3 linked regions of the Drosophila melanogaster genome follow. The protein of the gene in region 3 interacts with the protein of the main gene of each other region in a pairwise test. Each region holds a gene or a part of one and is shown on either strand. Other genes may lie near its edges.

What was found.
Region 1: the proteins of Uxt (region 3) and Dyb interact in a two-hybrid assay, tested with the Drosophila melanogaster proteins (one large-scale study listed by BioGRID).
Region 2: the proteins of Uxt (region 3) and Pfdn2 interact in a two-hybrid assay, tested with the Drosophila melanogaster proteins (one large-scale study listed by BioGRID).

The regions. Positions count from the first base shown.
Region 1 is NT_033778.4:12,433,827-12,442,714, forward strand, and holds the start of Dyb (dystrobrevin), read left to right. Parts: upstream 1-3,518; 5' UTR 3,519-3,563; coding exon of another isoform or gene 3,564-3,583; 5' UTR 3,584-4,064; intron 4,065-6,806; exon of another isoform or gene 6,807-6,909; coding exon of another isoform or gene 6,910-7,302; exon of another isoform or gene 7,303-7,311; intron 7,312-7,361; coding exon of another isoform or gene 7,362-7,363; exon of another isoform or gene 7,364-7,494; intron 7,495-8,888. Other genes in the region: DUBAI (deubiquitinating apoptotic inhibitor), read right to left, coding at 249-580, 646-1,455; Tmem18 (transmembrane protein 18), read left to right, coding at 2,371-2,430, 2,495-2,612, 2,688-2,836, 2,893-3,021; CG30334 (uncharacterized protein), read right to left, coding at 6,910-7,302.
Region 2 is NT_037436.4:11,070,422-11,077,480, forward strand, and holds Pfdn2 (prefoldin 2), read right to left. Parts: upstream 3,968-7,059; 5' UTR 3,826-3,967; coding exon 3,695-3,825; intron 3,591-3,694; coding exon 3,290-3,590; 3' UTR 2,871-3,289; downstream 1-2,870. Other genes in the region: Mocs1 (molybdenum cofactor synthesis 1), read left to right, coding at 394-564, 630-708, 1,138-1,989, 2,141-2,736; Noc1 (nucleolar complex protein 1), read left to right, coding at 4,440-5,168, 5,234-5,348, 5,408-6,982, 7,042-7,059. UniProt on the Drosophila melanogaster protein: Binds specifically to cytosolic chaperonin (c-CPN) and transfers target proteins to it. Binds to nascent polypeptide chain and promotes folding in an environment in which there are many competing pathways for nonnative proteins.
Region 3 is NT_033779.5:15,254,667-15,262,083, forward strand, and holds Uxt (Uxt prefoldin-like subunit), read left to right. Parts: upstream 1-1,914; 5' UTR 1,915-1,984; coding exon 1,985-2,031; intron 2,032-2,082; coding exon 2,083-2,524; 3' UTR 2,525-2,746; coding exon of another isoform or gene 2,747-2,920; 3' UTR 2,921-2,976; downstream 2,977-7,417. Other genes in the region: PolD3 (DNA polymerase delta subunit 3), read right to left, coding at 302-1,597; yuri gagarin, read right to left, coding at 2,747-2,920, 3,133-3,439, 3,507-3,775, 3,838-4,043, 4,116-4,272, 7,052-7,174, 7,246-7,346, 7,404-7,417.

The sequences.
Region 1 (8,888 bases), on a different chromosome or scaffold from region 3:
AAAATGAGTATATGTAGTTGTAAGAAGATAAATAAAGCCAATAAGCTTCGTAATCGTAATTATTTTCGTAATCGGAAATTGACACCTAAAACAGATTTATAAACAGTGAGCTCTTAAACAAAAGGTGCTGGCAAGGCAATGCAAATATAGAACCGAGTTTTAATCATAAATATGAGGCAAAGATATTATTTTGCGCTTCTACTTTGGGGAAATTAGAAGTGGGGTTTCTTCATTTGATCTTTACTTACTCGCTGGTCATGGCTAGCGCCTGAAGTACGCTATTCATGTAGCAGGTATTCCCCAGGTTAACGAGTCCAACCCTCGCATTCCGCCGACCCCACGGCTGGGCATTCTCATGCATTGCCTTTGCCAGAGCCACGCAATTCGGAGAGGGCTCATAGGTCTGCAGGGCTTTCTTGGTTGCGACATAGAGCTCATCCTGATCATAGAAACGTAGCATTAGGGCGCTGGTTAGGTCGACCAGTTGCTGCAGACATTTCTTGGTTTCCAGGCCAATCTCGTCCATGGTGGTCGACTGATTCTTCACATACTGCAGGACTCGTGGGATCCTTGGCAAGATCTAATAGGGTAACCAACCAAATGTCAATAATTATGTTGAAGCTAATGTTTGAGTGAAGTGTTTACCTTGTGAAAAACCTCGGGGGTCTGATTAATCGTTGACAGCATGTGAAACACAACCGGTGCGGCCTTTTGCCTCAGCGCCGGAAAGATCATCACGTGGAACAGCTTCTCGATGTTGTCCATTGCAATCTCGTCGAGCAGCGCCATTTTGCCCTGATCCCTTAGCCCCTTGAGCAGCGCCAGCACCCAAAGATTGAGAGTGCTGCAAAAGGTGCAGTACGTGATCCAATCACAGAGCAGGTTCACCGTCTTCTTAATGCTCGAGTCCTGCACATTCTGTTCCAGCAGCGAGTGTACAGCCTCCAGGATCTGCGTGGAGTCGAACAGCTGGAACACAATGGCCACGGCACACGAGGGTGGTGGCTCGAATGGCGACTTGGTGATCAGCTCGTAGACGACACGCAGGTAGAACATTTGGTGGAACTTCTCGTTGCGCGTAGCCAGAAAGGCACCGACCTGGCAGACGTCTTCCTTTAGGCGTGGACAGGATGCGCCTCGTGGAATTTGCAGACGGGCCAAGTCCACGATAACCCTCTCGCAGATGGCCATCACATTGTGGCCTTGCTCCGGCATATCGATGCTTTGGAGGTATGCCAGCAGGGCCTTAATATCCCGCTTGCCCGATCGGTTGGAGTTCAGGCTCTCGCCAGCGGGCGAACCCGTGTCCATGCCCTTTGGCAATACGTTCTCTTCGGCATTCGCCATTCCGTTCGCGGACATGGGTTTGGCGTTGGGCGGAATGCCGTTGCCAGCTCCTCCGGCATTATCCGAGGCATTATCACCCGCCTCGCTGTTATTCTGCTTAACGGCCATTTCGCGTTTCAATCGCTTGGCGTGGGCGTGGACGTGAGTGGCACAAAGGCTTGCGGACCACAGGGCCGACTGGAACTTCCAGTTGCCGATGGGCGGAGGCGTGGGCTTGCCTAGCGCCCGAACACAGCGGCTTTTTCGTTGCCTGCGACTCTGAGCGAGGAGTCTGAGCCGCGTGTCCTTGAACCGCGCTCCGTTACGTGTCGTCGTTACGATTTGACTGCGACCTTTCAACGGGTCTCGAGTGCGCCTCGATCCCTGCCCGATCCTGGCCAGAAACTCCCGCCACAAGCGCTTTAGAACAGAGTCCTAGACGAGTGTGGTGCACGGTAGGGTCGGTGGCCCGTGCCACATCTAAGGCGCCCCTTTTTTCGGATTACCCTGCTCGGCTTTAGCTTCGATTGCTTGCTCACACGTCGCCCGTTCGACTTAATAACCCGAATAGATTTGATTCGCCCTAAAAACTACAATTTTGACTGTTTTAAAACGAATTCTTTGTGATATTTTTCGGATTTGTTAATGTTGTCTACTGAGTCAGTGAAAGCGTTATCGACACGTTCAGACTGAATGACGGGCAGGGCGACTCTGCACGACAAGTCGGGGTGGGTGAGAATGAGGTGGCACAAAATTTGTAATTGCATTTATATGGTGAGTAATACATACTAAACGAAATAATAGTATTTTGATTTATGTTGTTATATTTAGCCCATAAAATAGTAAGTTAGGTCTTACAAACAGCGCTACCAGATCCAGTCAAAATTGAGGAAGCCTGAACGTCTATAGGCCTCCCAAAATGGCGTTGCCATGAAAAATGACAGCTGTTCGCTGCGAATGGCTATTTATGTTTGTTTTGACTCGGCTTTCGAATATATCGCAAAATATATACAGGAAACATTTATATTCACAAAAATCTGTACGATGCACCCAGGGCAAATTGAGGTCAACGAGATCAATGGCTATTGGACATTTCTGCTGAGCGTAAGATACTCGCCTATATACAATCAAAAATCAAGAATCCGGCAAGTTGTCACTATTTTTGCAGATCGATTGGAAGGATCCCTGGCTTATTGGCCTTATTTTGGCGCATATCTTAACCACCACCACTGCGCTGCTCAGCCGGAACAGCTCCAACTTCCAGGTTTTCCTCTTCCTAGTACTGTGTACGTGGACTTGGCGGCTTCCTTGACTTACCCGATAAATGACTCTGATTTTTGCATGTGCTTCATCTTCCTCAGTGCTGGCAGTCTACTTCACCGAAAGCATCAATGAGTTCGCTGCTAACAACTGGAGTTCCTTTTCCAGACAACAATACTTCGATAGCAACGGCCTGTTTATCTCGACAGTTTTCTCAATACCTATTTTGCTTAATTGCATGCTTTTGATTGTAAGTTATAGTGTTTCCACTGCATGAAGTGTGTATTTATCTTTGCTTATTTGCAGGGCACTTGGCTCTACAACTCCACGCAGCTGATGGTGACTCTAAAAACAGCGCAGCTCAAGGAGCGAGCTCGCAAGGAACGCCAGACTAAGGCGGATTCGGAATCCATAGCACATAAAAAGGCAGAGTAGAACTTACGCCTGTATTACATGCAGTTAAAAGCACAAGTAGAGCTGTGAAATTATATGTTATGCTTTAAATGGATTTTCCTGTCATCTAGATGTAGTTTGCTGCACAGCTCTCGTCTTTAAAATAAATTTAATTTAGTATAATCAAACTTATAGAATTTGTAAATTTAGGCTATTTTTACATCCTGTTTTACTTAGCGAAGTTACAAACCTAACATGCCCTTCATATTAAGCAAAAAATCACACCAGTTACCGTTGCCACCTTGGTAAAGCAGTTTTTACTGCCACCTAAAATTTTCTATATATATCACGTAATATGAACTATTTTGATATTTTTGACGAAATTAACATTATAGATCCAATCAGCTTATTGCCTGTATCAATTTCTGATCTGTGTGCCAAGACTGTAATTTCAAATTAGAAGCTCGTTGGACCTGTGTCATTTTTTAGTACGAATTCAATTGGGAGCCCTTCGTCGTCTGGTAACACTGTCCAACGATTTTGTTGTTGCTGGCTTGTGGGTGTCGAAGCAGTGTCGCGGCGCAATGTTGGAAGTGGTTTTTGGGTAAACAAAATCCGTTGATAAGATATTCGCACGGAGCTAATCGCAAATCGCGCTGCGTATTTACCGTTGGCAAGCCAGAAAAAAGTTTTGCATAGCATTGCGGTTTAAAGCCAGGCTCAAAATTCCTGCGAGCTCGCTTGTGTGTGTGCGTTTTTGCCGTCGGTGTGTATGTGTTTTGAGCCCATAAGCGTAGCCCGAAAAAAAGAAGTTTTTCTGTTACCATATTTTTTACCAAAGGCCAAAAGGGCGCAGCATCTTCGCTCTCTATCTCGGCGCTGCATCTTGCTCTCTCGTTCGCTAACGCGAGTTTGGCAACTCCGTTTACCGTTCATCGTTTATTGTGTGTAAACAGCAGGTGAAAATAAAACGCGATAAGTGCAGAGAAACAGGAGAAGGAGGAGAAAGAGCAGCAAGAAGAAGCAGCAACTCCGCGCAGCCCAACAAAAAGTGACGTATTAAAAAAGGTTGCTAATTACAAAAGGTAAACAACAAATAATGTGCGGATTATATTACCAAATTCCCGGGCATAAACAATACCAATAAAATGTTGCTAAGATTGCCCTTCCACCCCCCTCACTTACCCACTGAAATGCGTAGTAGATTTCCGCGATAGGAAAACTCGGATGAGTGACGCGTTGGCGACGCAGCGCACAGTGTTCATTCATAAAAAGTGTCTGCCCCCCTGCGCCCACTCCCAAAACACTCCCCCCTCCCCTCCACACTTTGAACCAAGCCTGTTTGTGGTTGCGCCTGGAATTTAGTTTACAACTAAATATGTTTGCGGGCAGCTAGGAGGAAAGTTCGGATTTGGTTGTTTTTGCTATGTGGGAAACCATAGTTAAACTATTTGCATTCCGTTGGAAAGTCTAGTGGTTCACGCCACGCCCCATGTTCGCTCGTTCACGAAATTATGAAATTGTGTAAATTATATTAAAAAGCTTAACGGGTATATTGATATCTCCTCTATAATACTTCATACAAGATAAGTTTAAGGAACTGAAATGTTTGAAGTTTTAATGAATTTCCTTAACTATTGCGTCTGGTTGACATCCAAGTTCGCATAGTTGAAAAATTCCATATCAAACTGAGCCGCATGCCTTAATAACTAGACCTTTTGCTCATTGAGATTAGATCACATACCGCCATATGGCAGTCGGTGAAATGATTAGCTCAGCGAATAATTAAGCGTCGTGCGAATGAAAAGTCACACACACACACACTGCAACTTGGTGTTTAGATTAGAGCATTTTGTATCTTAGCCCACCTTTGGCAATCGGTGATATCGAATAGCAGGAAAAACAATAATACGGAATTTATGGTCAGCGTGTCGCCAAAATGCCAAAGTCAAGCGAAATAAATACATAGAAATAATGAAAGAAAAAAAACAATCAAAATAACTCGGTGACATCATTTTGACTAATCGCCAATTTTAGCATTTGAAAAACGGCGGCTGCTCGCCCGGCCCACCAACAAGCGCGCGAAGGTGCGAAGGAGAGAGTCCACCAGGGAGGGGGCTGCGAGCGAGTGCGGGAGTGGGAGCGAGAATGAGAGGGGGAACACTCGTGGCAGGTGCGCCAAGCCGAAGTTCAAAACGAAGCTCAAACCCGAATGCCAAGCGGCATTCCGAACCACCTACAAGTCGGCAAGTAAAATGGATCGAATGCTCTTGCGATATCAGCGAGTTTCACTTTCGAGCCCCTCATCTATACACGAATACTATCTGCAATCGGAACAATCACTAGATAATCCCACGATCCAACATTAAGCGCATTGCTTTTATCACAGGTATTAAATCAAAGCCATGCATTTGGAAAAGTGCGCTTGCCATTTGCCAAATTTAAGTGGCTTTAATTGGCTGGTTTTTACGACTCATTGGCATTATGACGATCTTTAAATTTTACGATTAAATGCATAAATCAGGTGTTGAAGTGTAGTGCAAGTGGTTGCTACATATACCCCTACATAAATAGAATCACTCCAGAAAAATATGGCATTCAAGTTGAGTTAACTACTGGCTTGTATTGTAAGCTAAGAAATTGTTAAGTGGTAGCTATTCTCAAAAGCTTGCGCACAGGGGTGCCTTTCTTTAACTCATTATTATATCCATTTATATCCATTACGATCAAATATTCGTTATATATGGAAAATTGCCTAGCCTACCGTGACTCTATTGCCTGCCTGTTGATATTTCCCCCGCGGCAACTTCGATCCGATGCAATTAACTCGAACATATTGTGGCTCATTACGAGGGGCATTCCAATCTGAAGACGAAGCGACTCGATCTAGTTCACAGATACAGAGCTGCATACACGCATCCCACTGGTTATTTCGGTTAATTTTGATGTGTGCTGCTAAGAGCCGAGAGTGCAGAGGACTAGGCACCACTGCTCCACATCCCCAGATATTTCCGACACTACGTGCGCTGCGATGCGACGTGTCGACCGGGTGGGTGGAAATTTGGAAATGTTGTGAAAAGCTAAATGAGGCGTGACACGAAAAAGAAGGCAGAGGGGAAAAAAGAGCAAAGCGACAAACACGCAGAGCAGCATGGAAAAAAAAAGAAAAAAACAAACAAACAAACAGAGCTGAGTGCGGCCACCCACAACATGACAGCCGCCACAACAATGGCCATAGTAGCGTCGAGGAGCAGAACGAGAACGTGGTGCCCACCAAATCTAGCCACGGAGTAATTTCGGCCTAGAAAACAAAGAAAACGAAGAAAACTGCCCAGTTGTCTGCGGAAAAGACAAAGGAAGAATGGAAAACCAAGAGAGCGGAATGAAAAAGGGGGACCAATTCCGCACAAGGCGCACAATTAACCCTTTCTTTGAAGTCAGCGGCGAATGTATCCACTGTCCACTTTCCACTGGGCTTTAATTAGTTTATGGAACAAGCGTCCCGGCTCGGCTAACTGCAATAAAATTAATCGTTTATGCTGTAATCGCATTTAGCGGCGCCGACCTCCTTTCCACTCCTCTCCTCCCTACTCCTCTCCACACCGGATTCTGGCCCGGATTTCCACACCCGCAGTGGCCTCGTTTGATGTATGGGATGTACATACATTTATCGCGGGCGACAACTTTGTTCTCCATAACCAAGAGGCAGTCATGTGTGGGCATTCCATTACAGGGGATTTTCGCTAGCGATTGGAGCGTAAAGCATCTGGTTATTTTAAGACCAAGCCCATAATAATAAACCCAAAGGGCTAACCATAATTGTTCTTGCTTTACAATCAATTTTGCTCAAAAAAAAGAAAAAGAAAGAAATAACTCAAGAAACCAATTAACCGCAAACAGTGAAGTCCAGAGTCCACGAGACGTACATGCTCAGCAGCAGGAGTAGCAGGATGCGCGACAGGATTGGCCACAGCAGCCAAATCCACTGGAGCACATCATGCAGCTGTCCGCTCCGTACGGAAATTGATAGCACGGGGAATACGGGCGGGGACCACAGGACCACGATCCGCCACGAGGACCACAAGATGGCGCACAACCACCTCTGCCTCTGCCTCCACATCCACCTCTCCCTCCTCCACCGCCTTGGCCGCCTCCTCCTCCTCCGCCATAGCGGGAGTCACAGAAGGTGGTGCCAAAGGGCCCGTTACCGCCACTCCATCCGCATCTGGTGAAGCCCGAGTACTCGCCATACGGACAATCGCCGCACGCACGCTCCGGATAGGGTCCAATGTAGAACGGATTGAACTGTCTGCAGCTGGACATGTTAGCTGGCTAATATCGGAGGTCCATCAATTGGAAGGCATTCGGTATCAACTACTCACATTCTGGACTTCACTGTGCGCGGCCAGTGAGCTCCTCTATTCGGTATAATTTCGATAATCGCCTCCAACAATTGCTTCGTTATTTCCCATTAAAAGCCGAAAAGCCAACTAGACTGCCCATAAGTATGGCATTCTATGGAGCCAACTGATCCGACTGATTCGATCGACAGCGGTGGGGGTTAATATATGGCCATTGTTTCATCTGGCGCGTGTTTTGTTTGTAAACACCGATCGTGGCCAATAAATATTTGGGCATCGGACTTCCGCTTTGCGAATGGGGGGCCATAATCTAAATATTGTTTATTTACAATATATGTGAAAAGCATTGGCAAGAATAGCATTTGTATATTTGTATATTGTTTATTTGAGTTTAGTGTGCAATAATCGAACTAACTAAAGAGGGAATATTAAATATTTGTAGTAGACAACTCTGTCCACTTCAAACGTGCTTATATCAGCACAGTGGCCTCTGGCTAAGCTGCATTGATTGGTCAGATTGTTCGTCGTCGTCGTCGTTGTCGTCGTGGCAATGCCATTATGTGTGACAGTTGCATTCCAAATCTCATTATAGATTTATGCAAAGTGCAGGAGGAAAGCTTGGAGAAAGGCAGCCGACTTGCAGACTGGCCCACGATTTCCATTTTCCATATGCGTGGTGACTGTTGACCACTTGGGCCCTCGTTTGCATTGATTTGTGGGGCTTTCTTTGTCATCCCTTTTTGTGGCAACCTCTTTTTGTCTGGGATTCGATTTCCAATCGCACTCCCAATTCGATTGCAGTTCCACTTGATTGACTTGACTCTTGTCGTTGACATGGCCACAGTTTCCCAGCGCGCAAATAGAAATAGAACAAGAGGAACCCACAAGTGGGTTTGGTCCGGTTTAGCCGAATATATCTTATCGTTTGCGGTCTGTTTGCTTTGCAGATCGTTATCAACGCTGCTGAGATAGTGGAACGCATTGCAAATGGATCGTGAAATGGGGGAAAAAAAACCCGCCCACTTCAAATGCCTTGTGTCTTCTTTATTTCGTAAGAGATTCCGAGTGCGTGGGTGGCCCACATTGGGTCATTGGGTTACAACATTCAACCGACAAAGAAGACAAACAACACCACCCACATAGTGCGCCCACTTTTTAGTGGCCTTGTGCAAAACACTTTGGCCCACTTGGGTAGCGACATTCTGTCTGCTACTAGCGATTTTCGGACTCGCTTGGCCAATTAGCTGGGCATTTAGAACGCTTGCAGCTCGATAGCGTCAAATGCTCGATTTCATTACGTTTCGACCTTAGGTTTTGTTTCATGTTTTTCACGCTCGCTTTTCCGCTTTTCGCTAAGCGCACGTTCAGATGCCAAAAATAGGGCGTGACTCAGGTGATAAAGTGGAAAATATTTACTGCGAATCGTTTGCTCATCTGTGCTAATTATACTGGGGATTGTCATCGATGGATCGATGGTGTTGGCTGGTGTTGAAACGGTTGTCACACCCCGAGTTTATAAATTGTACAATATATCCACAGCTTGCAATC
Region 2 (7,059 bases), on a different chromosome or scaffold from region 3:
CAACCCCCTGGTGGCTCCCCCCCCCCCATACAATCAATCAACCGGCAAAAAATTTCAAATGCTGCCTAACACTGGCACTAGAACAAAAGCTTTGGCGAAAGCTGCGCTGGCAGCTCGTCCATATGATCGTCACTCTCAATTTAGTTTATAAACAACGCTCGCCGGCTGCAGTTGGAAACGGAGAGCGCGTAATCGGCGATATCAATTCGTAGGACATAGGACCGCCGTCAGCATATGTAATTGCTTATCACAGTCTGACTGTCCGAAATCGCTCCAGCGACAACAGATCCCCCAACAACTCGTGCCACCCCCCGCAAATTGCCGGCTTACGTAAGCCAATTGTATTCGTTTTAGCTGAGAGAACATCAATCAAAATACAAATAACAAAAAAACATGCGGCTATTGGCCAGACACGCGATTCGATTGCTGGGTCAGGAGAATAGCGCGGGCGAGGTGGCTTCACTTTCGAGAGGAGCAATCCGGCTGAAGGCCACAACCGGTTACCTCAATCTGGCCACGGCAAGTGTTCAGCCATTGGAGCCGGAGAAACAGGTGCTGAGAAAGGTGAGTACTCCATTTGGTGGGCACAAAGTTTCCGTATCGATTTCGCTAATCGAAAATTTAACCAGAATTCGCCACTCACGGACTCCTTTGGCCGGCATCACACCTATTTGAGAATTTCTCTAACCGAACGCTGCAATCTGCGATGTAAGTAAACCAACCACCTATGTTTTCGACCCTTATCAGTTTGCCCTGTTATTGTTTTACCTATTTGATAATACTCGCAGTGAAGTGGATCCCAGCCTTGATTGAATAATGTGGCGAAATTCGTGTCTTACACACGCACAACTGCGGTCAACATAATAGTTATGGAGTCCAACCATATCAGCCAATTGTTGACAAATTAGAGCAGATGGTCTAATTTCATTTGTAGCTGCTATTATAATCAGATAATTTTGGCGACATTAACAACGTTTCTGATTTCGATTACTGATAGATAGCAAACCCCCCATTGATATTAGATAATTTAATGTTCTTAACTTGAATTCGAGAAACTTCCATGATACTCTTCAGTTAACTTTTATTAAATTCCAATTGGAAAATTCTATTATAACTATAATGTGGTCATATTTTCAGGCGACTACTGCATGCCCGCTGAAGGCGTTCCGCTACAGCCGAAAAACAAACTCCTGACCACCGAGGAAATCCTTCGTCTAGCTCGAATTTTCGTGGAGCAGGGAGTGCGAAAGATCCGCTTGACCGGCGGAGAGCCAACTGTGCGCAGGGATATCGTAGAGATAGTGGCACAAATGAAAGCACTACCCGAACTGGAGCAAATCGGAATTACCACCAATGGCCTGGTGCTGACACGCCTGCTGTTGCCGCTCCAGAGAGCTGGACTAGATAACCTGAACATCAGTCTGGATACGCTGAAAAGGGATCGCTTTGAGAAGATCACCAGGCGAAAAGGATGGGAGCGGGTGATAGCCGGCATTGATTTAGCTGTCCAATTGGGCTATCGCCCCAAGGTGAACTGCGTCCTTATGCGGGATTTCAACGAGGATGAAATCTGTGATTTTGTTGAGTTCACCAGGAATCGTCCGGTAGATGTGCGGTTCATAGAGTACATGCCATTCTCCGGAAACAAGTGGCATACAGAGAGGCTCATTTCGTATAAAGATACCCTGCAAATCATTCGACAAAGGTGGCCAGACTTCAAGGCCCTTCCCAATGGACCTAATGACACTTCTAAAGCCTATGCAGTTCCGGGATTTAAGGGTCAGGTCGGTTTCATCACCTCCATGACGGAACACTTTTGTGGTACCTGCAATAGATTGCGACTCACTGCGGATGGAAACATAAAGGTGTGCTTGTTTGGCAACAAAGAGTTCTCGTTGAGAGATGCCATGCGAGATGAGAGTGTTAGCGAGGAACAGTTGGTGGATCTCATTGGAGCAGCCGTCCAGCGTAAGAAGAAACAGCATGCAGGTGAGTTTCGATTCCGAATGAAACGTAGAAAGTCTTCAGAACTTGGTACTCCTTCGCAGGCATGCTGAACCTGTCGCAGATGGAGAACCGGCCCATGATACTCATTGGCGGCTAGTAGACACACCACACTCTCTCCCCTCTCCCGTTGCAGATGCTGCGCCAAGACTCCATCATCATCTTCATCCTTATTCGTATCACCACGCATATCATACTTCAAGGCTGCAGCTTCAGGCCCGAAATTACAGCCAACTCACCCATGTCGATGGCCAGGGCAAGGCCCAAATGGTGGATGTGGGCGCAAAACCTTCGACCACAAGATTAGCTCGTGCAGAGGCCACCGTTCAGGTGGGTGAGAAACTTACCCAACTTATAGCCGACAATCAAGTGGCCAAGGGAGATGTTCTAACCGTAGCCCAAATTGCTGGCATAATGGGCGCTAAGCGAACCGCCGAACTGATACCCCTGTGTCACAACATCAGCTTGTCCTCCGTGAAAGTGCAGGCCACTCTTCTGAAAACCGAACAATCTGTGCGGCTGGAGGCAACCGTTCGCTGCTCGGGCCAAACTGGAGTCGAGATGGAGGCACTAACTGCAGTTTCAGTGGCCGCTTTAACTGTGTACGACATGTGCAAGGCTGTTTCTCACGATATCTGCATCACAAATGTCCGCCTGCTAAGCAAATCCGGCGGAAAAAGGGACTTCCAGAGGGAGGAGCCGCAAAATGGGATAGTTACAGAAGTCGAATAAGTCGAATACCCGACTAACCGGATTAACCACGATACGGGGAATGGAAAATAAACTACTGCTTACTTGATTTAGCCACAAATATTAAATTAAAAGACTTATGAAGCAAGAATACATAAGTGTAAAAATGTAGATGAAATCACTTCCTTATAGGAAACTAATTTGACTAACATACCAATAAAATGTTTCAGAACAAATGGCATAAAAGGGATAAATAATCATATAGTTTATATAGTTTTTGTTTCCAGTCGGTGGATAGAGGTCCATCCATTTTCAGATCTTGAATGAATCACAAGACACATGACTAATTTCAATCGGAAGTTTAAGGTATCTTTAATTCGTGGCCAGAGTGGGTTAAGTTTAAATGAGGGGAATTGATGGATAGTGTTGGTGTGAAGGTGCGATTGGAGGCGTTTCGCGAACTGCGCCTTACAGCTAGAAGTACATACAACATTAGAAGTGTTCAATAAACGCGGATTATCGCTCGCAAATCCTGGCAGAGTTCCCTCTCAACATAGACACAATAAATACGGTGTGGTGAGGTAATCAATCGCTCTCAGTTGAACACCAGGACATTACGGTTCTCCGCCTTGTCCTCCGCATCGTCGCCCTTGGCTCCTTCGGCAACCAAGTGTTCGCCGCGAATCTTGATATTGTGCTCCTCCTTGAACTTGTTCAGCTCACTGCCCTTTTTGCTCAGGTCATTGGTGACCATTTGGATGGTCTTGGCGATGAAATCCTTGTTCTCCACCAGCTGTGGCAGCACCTCCTTCACGGTCCTTTCGCACAGCACACCACCAATTTGACGAAAGCATTTCCGTTCGGGATCCGCCGCCTCCAGAGTTTCTATCACAGTTCTAGGGAGGATAAGGAGTTATGTCATTGTGTCTGCAGGGATTCTCCCACTTGCCCAAAATCACAAACAGACGTGTCATCCATCTTTGGGCCCCCGGTGACTCACTTGTGTTCCCTCAAATCCATTTCGAGCGTATTTAAACTGTTGACCAAATTGCGCTGCTCATTGCGCAGCTGTTGGAACTGGGCCACAATGGCCTCCTGGCTGAGTGCCGGCTTCGCCGATTCGGTGCTCATTGCAATGTTCGCTATCCAAAAGGACCCCTTCGAAATCTAGACCGGGATAATCGCTTCAAATTGGCGATAATCTGCGATTTTCTTTCAAAATACGAGACCGAACACGAGGACTATGCGATAAACGTCCTAACAAATCCCAAGCGCGTCAAGGCAGTAAGACCGTAAATGTATTGTGGAAAAATGGTGTAACGGTAAAAGAAAATATAGCACAACTTCAGTTACTTAAACATAAGTTAATGTAATAATTTATAAATTAATAGTAATTCTATATAAGAATTTCAATTTTATTCTTACTTATAATCAGATTATAATAACTTCAAGCTTTATATAACTTCAAACCCACCTGCTATCAAAAGTCACGGTCATTTCAATGGTAATTACTGAATAATTTATAAATTTTAAAACTAAGTTGGATACTCTCTTATTTAAGATTTTAAATACAAAATTTTAATATCATAAAGACAATGAAATTCGTCACTAAGTAGACGACATACATATGTTGCTTACGTTTCGCGGTGAATGTCATATTTGAATACACGTGCGAGTTGTTTCTAACGCCGTTTATTTTATTTAATGATTTTTATCTAATATATAGCTTTAGAAAATATAAAATCATGCCGGCAGCAGTGGCCACAGGTGTGCAATTCGGTGGACCGCCCAAAAACAAGAAAATCGTGTTCGACGACTCCGGCGAGGCGGTAGTTAAACAAAACAAAAAGGAGCACCCACAAAGGCCAAAATTTGAAGGGAAGGAACAGGTGAAAAAGCCGCAGAAAATTAAGTTTGGAGAGGATGGAAAAGCGAAAGGTGCTAAGTCCTTTAATAAGAACCACCAAAAGCCGGATTTTGCCAACAAACCACAGAGAATAAAGTTCGGCGATGATGGAGAACAAGTAGCTTCCAAGTCGTTCAACCAAAATCATAAAAATGGACCAAAACCACAGAAAATCAAATTTGGAGAGGATAGAGAAGCAGTGCATCAAAAACCTTTCAACAAAAACAACCATAAACATAATGGTCAAAAGTCGGACTTCGCCAATAAACCTCAGAAAATCAAGTTCACTGATGATGGAGAAGATGAAGTAACTGCGAATTCTTCCAACACAAAGACGGAACCGACCAAGAAGTCCCAAAAAATCAAGTTTGGAGATGACGGAGAGTCCAAGGAGAACTTTAAAAAGCCCCAACGAATCAAGTTTGATGAGGATGGAGCTGGAAAAAATGTATCCGACAGCGATGGAGACAGTGATGAGGAACTGGGGGACTCCATTTCCAAAAAGCACAACAAATATCAGTCAAAAATAGATGAAGACGAGGAGTCCCAAAAGAAGTGGTATCATGTGGTATGTTGAAACTAAACTGAAATCGTGGAAATAAATCATTTATAGTTATCACTATCGTATCTTAGCATCCCGACTATCCGTCCACCGATGAGGTGCTGGACATGAAGGAGAACGATCAGCTGGAGCTGTACAATCTCTGCAAGAATTCCTTCGAAGCGGAGAAGATAACTTTTAATAAACGTAAGACTTTCTCGACTCGGAAATTGGAACCCCTACTAATGTTTTTATCTCATCTTTAGGTAATCCCTCGGATGCTCGCTGGTTGCAAACCGCTCTGCACAAGGGTACTGCAAAGGATCGGGCCAATGCGGGCGCCCTTCTGGTGACGAGCAATCCACTGGGCAATTTGGAAGCATTGAGCACTTTAATTGGCTTCTGCAAGATCTCCAACAAGGCCAGCAATGATGTGATTGCAGTGCTCACGGATTTGTGGCAGGAGGTGCTGCTCCCGCCAAACAGAAAACTCCTGGCGGTGCACACACGTGGTGCTGATTGGAAAAAGCTGAAAAAGGATGAGAATTTGCGCAACGAACAGAAGCGCCGCATTTACGCGTACTGGCATTTTGAGAGCGAATTAAAGGATCAGTACCACGAGTTCTTGAAGAACGTTATGCAGGGCCTGCAGACTGGACAGGAACACAATAAGAACTCCTCTATTGTGTCAGCAGCCAGGCTGTTGGCCTATGCTCCCGAAAAGGAGCAGCTGCTGCTAACCATGCTGGTAAACAAACTGGGCGATCCCATCGCCAAGATTGCCTCCAAGGCGTTGCATCACCTCAGCGAGGTGGCCCAGAAACATCCGAACATGTGCGGTGTTATTGTTGCCGAAGCGGAGAAGCTACTTTTCCGTAACAATATTTCCGAGCGAGCGCAGCACTTTGCACTGTGCTTCCTCTCCAGCATCGCACCCTCTGGCCGGCCCGAAGTCTGCACCAAGTTGGTCAATATATGCTTTGCCCTCTTCAAGGTTCTCGTGCAGAAGGGAGCCGTAAATAATAGGACCATGCAGGCCATCCTTCGATGCTTGCAAAAAGCTATCGTGGAGGCTAAGCCGGCAAAGGATAGCAATGGGGAATTACTCACCAAGGAAATGCAGGACACCATCTACCGATTGGTCCACTTGGCTGACATTAGGGTCGCTGTACAGACTCTCGGCCTGCTGCTGCAATTGGTTGCAGTAAAAACTGAGAAATCGGATCGGTTTTATAATGCTTTATATGTAAAGCTGCTGGATCTGAACCTAATTAATGTGGGTAGCAAAACGGCGGCTCATCTACTGCATATTGTACATCGTGCCATCCACATCGACAACCATGTGGCCAGGGCCCAGGCATTCGTGAAGCGTCTGCTGCAGTTGACCCTATACGCTCCACCGCACATTGCAGCTGGTTGTTTAATCGTCATCCACAAGTTGCTGCGCATGCGCCGTGAGCTAATTGGCGGCACTGGAGCTTCTGAGGAAGTGGAGGAAGGTTCCAAAGTTGTTCTACCAATCAGTGCGGATCTGGACAAGTTCGGTAGCGACGATGAGGAGGTCTACGAGGATGTTAAAGATGAGGCGGATGATACTAAGGACTCCAATCCATTGGAGGAGAAGGCAGACAATGATGTTAAGTCAAGTGCATCATCCTGGCATCATGCCCGTGTGGCTGCCACAGAGGCCAAGGTGCGGGATATTGATTCCTGCAAGTACGATCCGTACCATCGAGTGCCCGCTTTTGCAGGAGCTGCATATGCACTCCGCCATGAACTGTTGTTGCTGCGGCAACACTACCATCCCACCGTTCAGGTCTTCGCCGAACAGATTCTTCAGCGTGAGTATTCCATTAGGTTTCTATTCATAGCCTTTTATAAACCCTTTCGATTTTTTTAGAATCACGCATTGATTACT
Region 3 (7,417 bases):
CGCCCACACACACACACACACACACACAATCAGACACGCGAATCTATATAAATAAAGAAATACAAATTACAAACAAGATACTCAAACAACTTCTAGCAGCTATAAACAAATGCAATAAATTCTTTTTAACAACAAACGCAAACTGTTTTTTTCATATGGGCTGATGGCTATTTTTTTGTAAACCCATCATAAAATATATATTATTTTCAATAATCATAAATAAATTTATTAAAAACATTAACTGTTTCCATGCTTAACAATTAACCCTTACTTTAGCAACATCTCCATGCTTTGCTTTCATTTACTTCTTGGAAAAAAAGTTCATAATGCCAGCTTGTTTGGTTTTCGGCGCATCCTTTCCAGCTTTCGCGGCTGAAGGCGGTGACTTCTTTTTGTTGACGGGAGCAGCAGCCTTTGGGGAAACCTTTTTGTTGGCAGGCTGGGCTTTTGTTGGTTTACGCTGCGTAATGACGAAGCCATCTTCATCCAGATAGGTTTCATTGGCCGGTTCCGTATCCATTTTCTCATCCAATGCGATGGTCTCTTCATCGGCGGACTTCTTGGGCGGCTGCTCCTCGTCCTCAGAGTCGCTGATTCGTCGCCGCTTGGAGGACGAGGCCTTTTCCTGATCGGAGTCGTTGTCCGACTCGATCACCTTCCGCCGCAGCATGTCCAGCTTTTCCTCCTCGTCGGACGATTCGGCACTCTCCTCGTCGAACAGTTGCATGGAAGTGTTTGCCGTTGTTGGCTTTTTGGTGGGACTGGGGGATTTCTTTTTCGAGGCTTCCTTTTTGTTTGAATTGGAAGCATCTTTCTTCGATTTATCTTCGGATTCCGGTGGCGACTTCTTGGCGCCTGCCGGTTGCTTCTTAAAGAAGTTGTCCACGGTGCCGGACGTCGATTTGCTGGGCGTGGCTTTGACATCCTTTGGCTTGCTGGCCGCCGCTGTGAAGAAGCTATTAATGCTACCCTTTTTGGCTGCTGCAGGCTTGGCTTTAGAGGCCTGTTCCTTGGGCGAGGTCTTCTTATCCTCCGGAGAGGACTTGCTGGCCACTGGCTTTTCCGCCTTCGACTTTGCTGGCTCTGATTTAAGTGAAGATTTTGAAGGCTCCAACTTAACCGCAGACTTTGATGGCTCCGATTTAGTGGGTTCAGATTTGACTCCATTGTGGGGAGTCGTCCCATTTGCACTGGGCACTATCTTTCCCGCTCCAGGACGCTGCTCCACTTTTGCCAACTTCACCTCCAAATGCTGCATGGGCTTGAAAATCGCAGCCGGCGCTTTGGTGCCACCGGCTATTTTCACACTATACAGCTGAGACTCCGCATCCTGGACTTTGGCCAGCCAATCCTGCATCCTGCTCTCCAGCACCACAGAGTACAGATCTTCGCCGGAATCGGATCCTTGCGTTTTACGCTTGCCATGGACTAGAAATCTCTTCTCGAATTTTGTGGCAGGTTCCTGCTCTTTGATGTAGGCCTCCAGCACATCGTTCACCTCCTTGTAGGACAGTTTGTACTCCTCCAGAAGATCGGTGACCAGCACACAGCGATCGAAATCGATCATGCAATCGTCGAGAGCCTTTTTAAGCGACATTTCGACAATTTGTTTAGTTAAAATTGCGCGAAATCGTATTGCGGGCGTGCCAACTTATGTGACTAAAAAAAGTGCTAAAACTCACCAGCAAAATAATGAATACTGAATTCGAAAATTTGTGACTTTGCTATGCATATTGTCAATGTAGAAAAAGGCGTATTTATTAAAGTTAATTAATTAATTATTATATATATTTAGTTGCTTTTTTTTGCTTGAATTATGAGCTTATTAATAGACTTTACATTTAGCTTAAATATAGCTAAATTGAAACAACTGCTATCTATCGATAACATCTACTTGCCGCTATTGCAAAGATAAGAAGAAGAAACGAGAAGTAAACAAACCAGATATCCTAATAAATTTTGATTTCTTTTTAATGCCCAAACAATGCAAGTAAATCCAAAACACAACACAGAAGCTCACAGACAAGCCGAGTAAGTGATAAAAATACAAGTGAATGCAGCAAGTGTAAGACCCAATTACAGGCAGGATGCCAACAAGGCGCGAATCACCCAAATTGAGGAGTTCATCAACGAGGTGCTGAAAGAGGATCTCAGAGAGCTGGAAAAGTGCATCGGGCAGTACAACGAGGAGATCATGGAGTACGTCCAGCTGAAGAACACCCTCCAGACCTTCGACACCCACCTACCAGATGGCTACAAAACGCAAGTCAACATCGGCAGCAACGTATTCATGCAGGCTCGCGTTCGGAAAATGGATAGCATTCTGGTCGATGTGGGCAAGAATGTGTTCCTCGATATGAGCATTCCAGATGCGGAACGCTTCTGCGACACACGCGTAAAGATCTTGACCAAGCAATCCGATGTCCTGCGCGACGAAAGCGTCAAGAAAAGGGCTCAAATCAAAATGGCCCTCATAGCAATCAGCGAAAGAACCAAACTTATTCAACAGGATGAAAGCAAATAGCTTCGCTGCGTCCACAGAAGCTGAAAGCATCTGTATCCTTGTTCGTATCAGTAGTGATCACATTATTACCAAGATTACACAAGCACTTAGTTTTTATTTTATACCACAATTTACAAAGACAATTTACAAGTTACGCGCCTCCAAAGTGTTGATGGCATAGAGATTTTGGGTGAGAACGATTTTTAAATGGAAGGAGGAGTTGCATGCAAATCCTGGCGACTCCTACGACTGATCCTGTGACGATCGAGTACGCCGCAATATGGATTGGGCCACCGGTTGCCCAATTCCAGCCGGACTTCCTGAGATCAAGGAGTTGCAGTACTGATCGTTCATAGTCTGATTCTGGTTAAAAATCCGCTGCGAGGTGCTGGTCAAGTTCTGCAATCGCCTGGCCATCTGCGGAAGTCACCAATAGACACCAGTTAGACAATAAAGTTAGAAAGTATTATTTTAATTCCAGCTGCCCGTTTAAGAAGTCCAATGGTTATCCAATTCGTCAAAATTTGGAACAGGCTTGTTGAAAATTAAGGAAAAATTCAAGTTTTACATGGTTTGGTGGCATTTTGGCATATAAAGATTTGTGAAAAATTTGTATATTTCCAACTCACATCGTTCCCCGCCTCGGGATTGGTCAGACCGCCACTCTTCGGAGGTGGACAACTTATCGCCGAACTGGACGCGCAGTTGACCGCCTGCTTCACTCGTTTTATCTCCGTCTCCAAGAGCTTGTAGTCTCGGAATAGATTGCGATAGTCCTCGGCCAACGTCCGGTTTTCGTCCAGCAGCATGTGGATGTGTTCCTCGGCCCGCTTGGCGCAAAGACGCATCGCCTCATCGGCCCTAACCTGGGCGTCCTTCCATTTTCGAAAGGAGTCGATAATCTGTTCCTGCTGCTGGTTAACTTCGGTCTGTTGACTGGCGGGAAGAGAGAACATGGCAGCTGCTCTTATATGGATGCACTCTATCCTGGAAAATTACCTACTTTAGGCGGATCTGCATTTGCTGGCAATTTTCCGAAATGGTGCGCAACTCCTCCCGCAGAGATTCAGTTGTCTCGTTCATCCGCTGGATACTTTCGCGATGCCGGATGTCATCCAGCTGCAGATGGCTCTGCATTTTCCGAACAAGAGTGCGCATCTTTTCCATCTCCAACTGGGCACTCTTTTGTTGATCTTGAAGTGCCCGCTCTCGGCCCGAGGACACAGCCTCCTTCTCCTTCAAAGCGACCACCTCCTCTCGCAAGATTTTGCGCTGAAATTCATAATACCTCAGTTTTCTTTGTGCCCAAGGACGACAATAGTCGGATACGCCACCTCTGTTCTCAGCTCATCCTGCAGCTGCTCCACCTGATCCAGTCGCGTTTGCAGGCTCTGCGCTTTCCTCTTGGCGTCCTTGAGCTCCTGGCACTGATCCTCGAAGCTGGCCATCAGGCTTTCGTACTTCGTGCAGAGTTCCACGCTTTGATTTTCTTGGTTTTTCAGCAGGGAAGGGAGGTCTCGCAGTTGGCGGGATAGATCACCTGATAGTATACATATATATATATATATATATAGAAAGAGCTTTTAATTGAAAATTATAAGTTTTCTCTCACAATTCTTCTGTTTGAGGACATGCATCTCTTCTTTGAGCCGATTGTTCTCGCTGAAATCGGAGTAGCTATTGATCATGGACTGCAGCTGGCTAATCTGGTTATCTCGATCCTTTAGATTTTCCTGCAGTCCCTTGATTTGGCAGGAAAGTTGTCCGTTCTGGTGGGGAAAAAAGTGGGCGAGAAATCAGAGAAACGATTAGGAGCAATTTGGTAAATGTGTGCTTTAGTGGATCCAACTTGTATCTCCAGTTCACAGTTGATCCGTGACTGATCGACGAAATGGAGCTCGGGCTCTGGGCAGGATTGGCTGGCTAGTGAGCTCTGCTGCAGCTGCTGCTGCTGCTGCTCCACCTGTTCGGTCAGCTCCTCGAGATCCCTTTTGAACTCATCGATGATGCTGAGGTAATTATCCCGGGTGGCCTGCAGTAGATCCGACTCGGTCTGGCAGTGGAGCAGCGTGTGCTCCAACTGCTGGCGGTGGGGGCAATCGGTGGAGCTGTTGCCTGTGTTCTACAAATTCAAATTGAGTTGTGGCTCACTTGGTTGGTACCGCTATTCTCGAGGCTTACCATGGCCACTCGGAAATCGGTAACTAATTGCCTGCAAATCCGCGCACGAAATCACCTGTCAGTTGTCAATTGTCGATTGCAGATACGCGGATGTACATATCTATGTGTTTAAATCGTTTTCGGTGTCGAATGCCTAGAAATGGAGCCTTCGTGCCGCCGAGCTTGCAAATATATCTCGCAAATATGACCCCCAGACGAATTTTGGCTTCATTACCGTTTCATTTCATTTCAATAATATTGCTATTAAAAGTTTGTCACGAAAATAAAACCAATTCGAAACGTAGGAGGTGGCAAGGTTTCGGGTTTCCGGTTTCAAAGTTTCGCTTCTTTGGCACTTTGGCAACACACAAGTTTGTTGGGTGCTTGAAGGGGTGGGGGGTGAAGGATGGTTGAGTGGGGGGGGGGGGGGTGACTTCCCCTAGTTTTATAGATATTATTATTTGCGCGGCCCGACTGTTTGACACGATTTGAAAATAAAGTTAGTTGCAGCGGGTGGCAGCGAATAGTATTATATCGTCTGTCTATTTCTTGGATACGATAGATATATGGATATTTATGAATGATGAGTGGAGGGGAGTTGGGCGAGCGTGGCTCGGCGCACTTAAAACACTTTTAAAGGCATATTATATTGCAGTGGGTGGGGCGGGGGGTTAGTACTACGAAATTGATAGCTCAGGCTCGGGGAAATGTGAAAATCGATTGGGACGGGGGCAATGAATTCTTATGATTCCTTGTCTGTCATTAAACCCATTAGCGGAGCCCAACAATTCGCTTTTCCATCGGCTCCATTTGCACATTTACGGTTCGCAGCACCAACTTTCTTCACTGCACTTCGCGTCCCTCTTTGCGAAAGCACTCGAAAACAATTTGCACTTTTGGCCAACTTTCTCCTTTCTAATTGCCCGATTTTCCTTTCGTTTTTCGCGCCGAAAAGATAATCAAATCGACGGAGCGCGACTTAGGCGACTAATTACGCCTCGTAAATTGGCTGGCGAGGATTTGGCGCGTTATTCCTGGCGCTTCCTTGATTCGCTTCACGCGACTAAACGGCCAAATCCGCCGACGGATGACAGGATTCTGAAGCGAACTGCTCCCCTGCTGGGGCTTCCTGCCGAGTTGTGTTTGATTTTGCGCCCGACAGTTTCGCCAAAGAGATGATGGCGTGAGGGGTGACGACTTTGTTTATTGTTCACACCTCGGGAATTAGTCATATCTAAATAAACATTTATTTAGGTAATTACTAAATATTTGTATTTGCACTGAGCTCAATTTAAGTTGGTTCGGTATTATGAATTACTTAGTGCATACGATCGAGATCGATGTAAATGGTCGTGGTCCTTGCAGTCACGCGGATCACGAGCAGTCCTAGTCAGTGAAGTCCCAATCCCGGCGGCACTCATCAATATGCATATCACTGCTCGCCGGAATCGCGTGTCGATTGTGGGTAAATAAATAACACGAAACCTATTTCCGATTCGCCAGCTCCACTGGCTGGAGGGCAGAAGGTGCTCCCCCCTCAGGGGCAATTGCAGTTGAACATACAGCCGAGTTTCCACAATAAACACATTGGCGAACGATTTGTATTTGTCGTATGTAGACATTTGCCCGGCGGGATGAGTGAAGTGGATCTCTTTCTTTTGTGTCTGGGCCCAATATATATATATTCATATATATATATATATGGGTAAATAAATCGGGGACTCGAATGGCAACAGTAGTTCTTTTGTCAATCCAGCCAGGATTTACCGAGTATATACTGTACCGAGTATATATGTGAAGGCGAATGTCGTTTACCACATAAGAAGAAAGTTCTATGTGCTGAAACGTAAATCGGAAATGTATTTCAAGCTCATAATTTGGTTGGGATATGAAAGAAACTTTATTTAAAACTAGTTCATTTCATTAAAACTATTCATTTCAGCAATCTGTGATTCTAGTTTCTGTTTAACCATATATAGATAGATATAGATTTGAGTGGAGTTGAGTTTTCGTGGCGAACAATCGCGATGATAAATAACTTAAGAACGACAAACTTTAAGCTAAACTATACAAACTTCTTAACGTGGCTTAGATTAGACTAACTGTTTAGGAGGCCCAACAAGTGACATAGTTACTTGGAGGTCCTAAACGTTGTAGTTGTGTTTTTCGTTGGTATAGTTTTAGTTGTCGTTGGCTTGTTTGAAGGTTTAGGTGTTGGTTGTTGTTTGTTTGTTTTTGCCGTGGCTCCCGGGATTTTGGTGGTTTTGGTTGGCTTCCTTGTTTGGGAAGGTGTTTTCGTATCGCATTCCTGCATTTGATATGACAACCGGGGTTATTGGAATCGGCTATTGGTTATTTGCGATGCAATCAAAGCCGTCAGATACTCACAATTTCCACTTGATTTTGCTCCTGCTCGAATTTCCGTGCAAACATATCCGCAATGGTCGTACAAAATGGATTTTCTTTCGAGGATTCGTCGTAGATTTCGTTGTAGGAGAACTCCTTGGAACCCTGAAATGATGCACATATTTTTAATATGCATTTCCTGCAATCCTGCAGAATAGAGAAGAGTCTTAACTCACCAACGAGCAGATGAGTTCGGCGATCTCCCTTAGAACATCGCTATTTCTTTGAAGAACGCTGCTTTCCGATTCAATCCTCGCCTCCAGCTCTGAAATTTTGACTTTTTGCAAATAGGGAAATAGTTATAGCAAAAGTATCGAGAATCGGATATACCCACTTTTCGACTCGGTG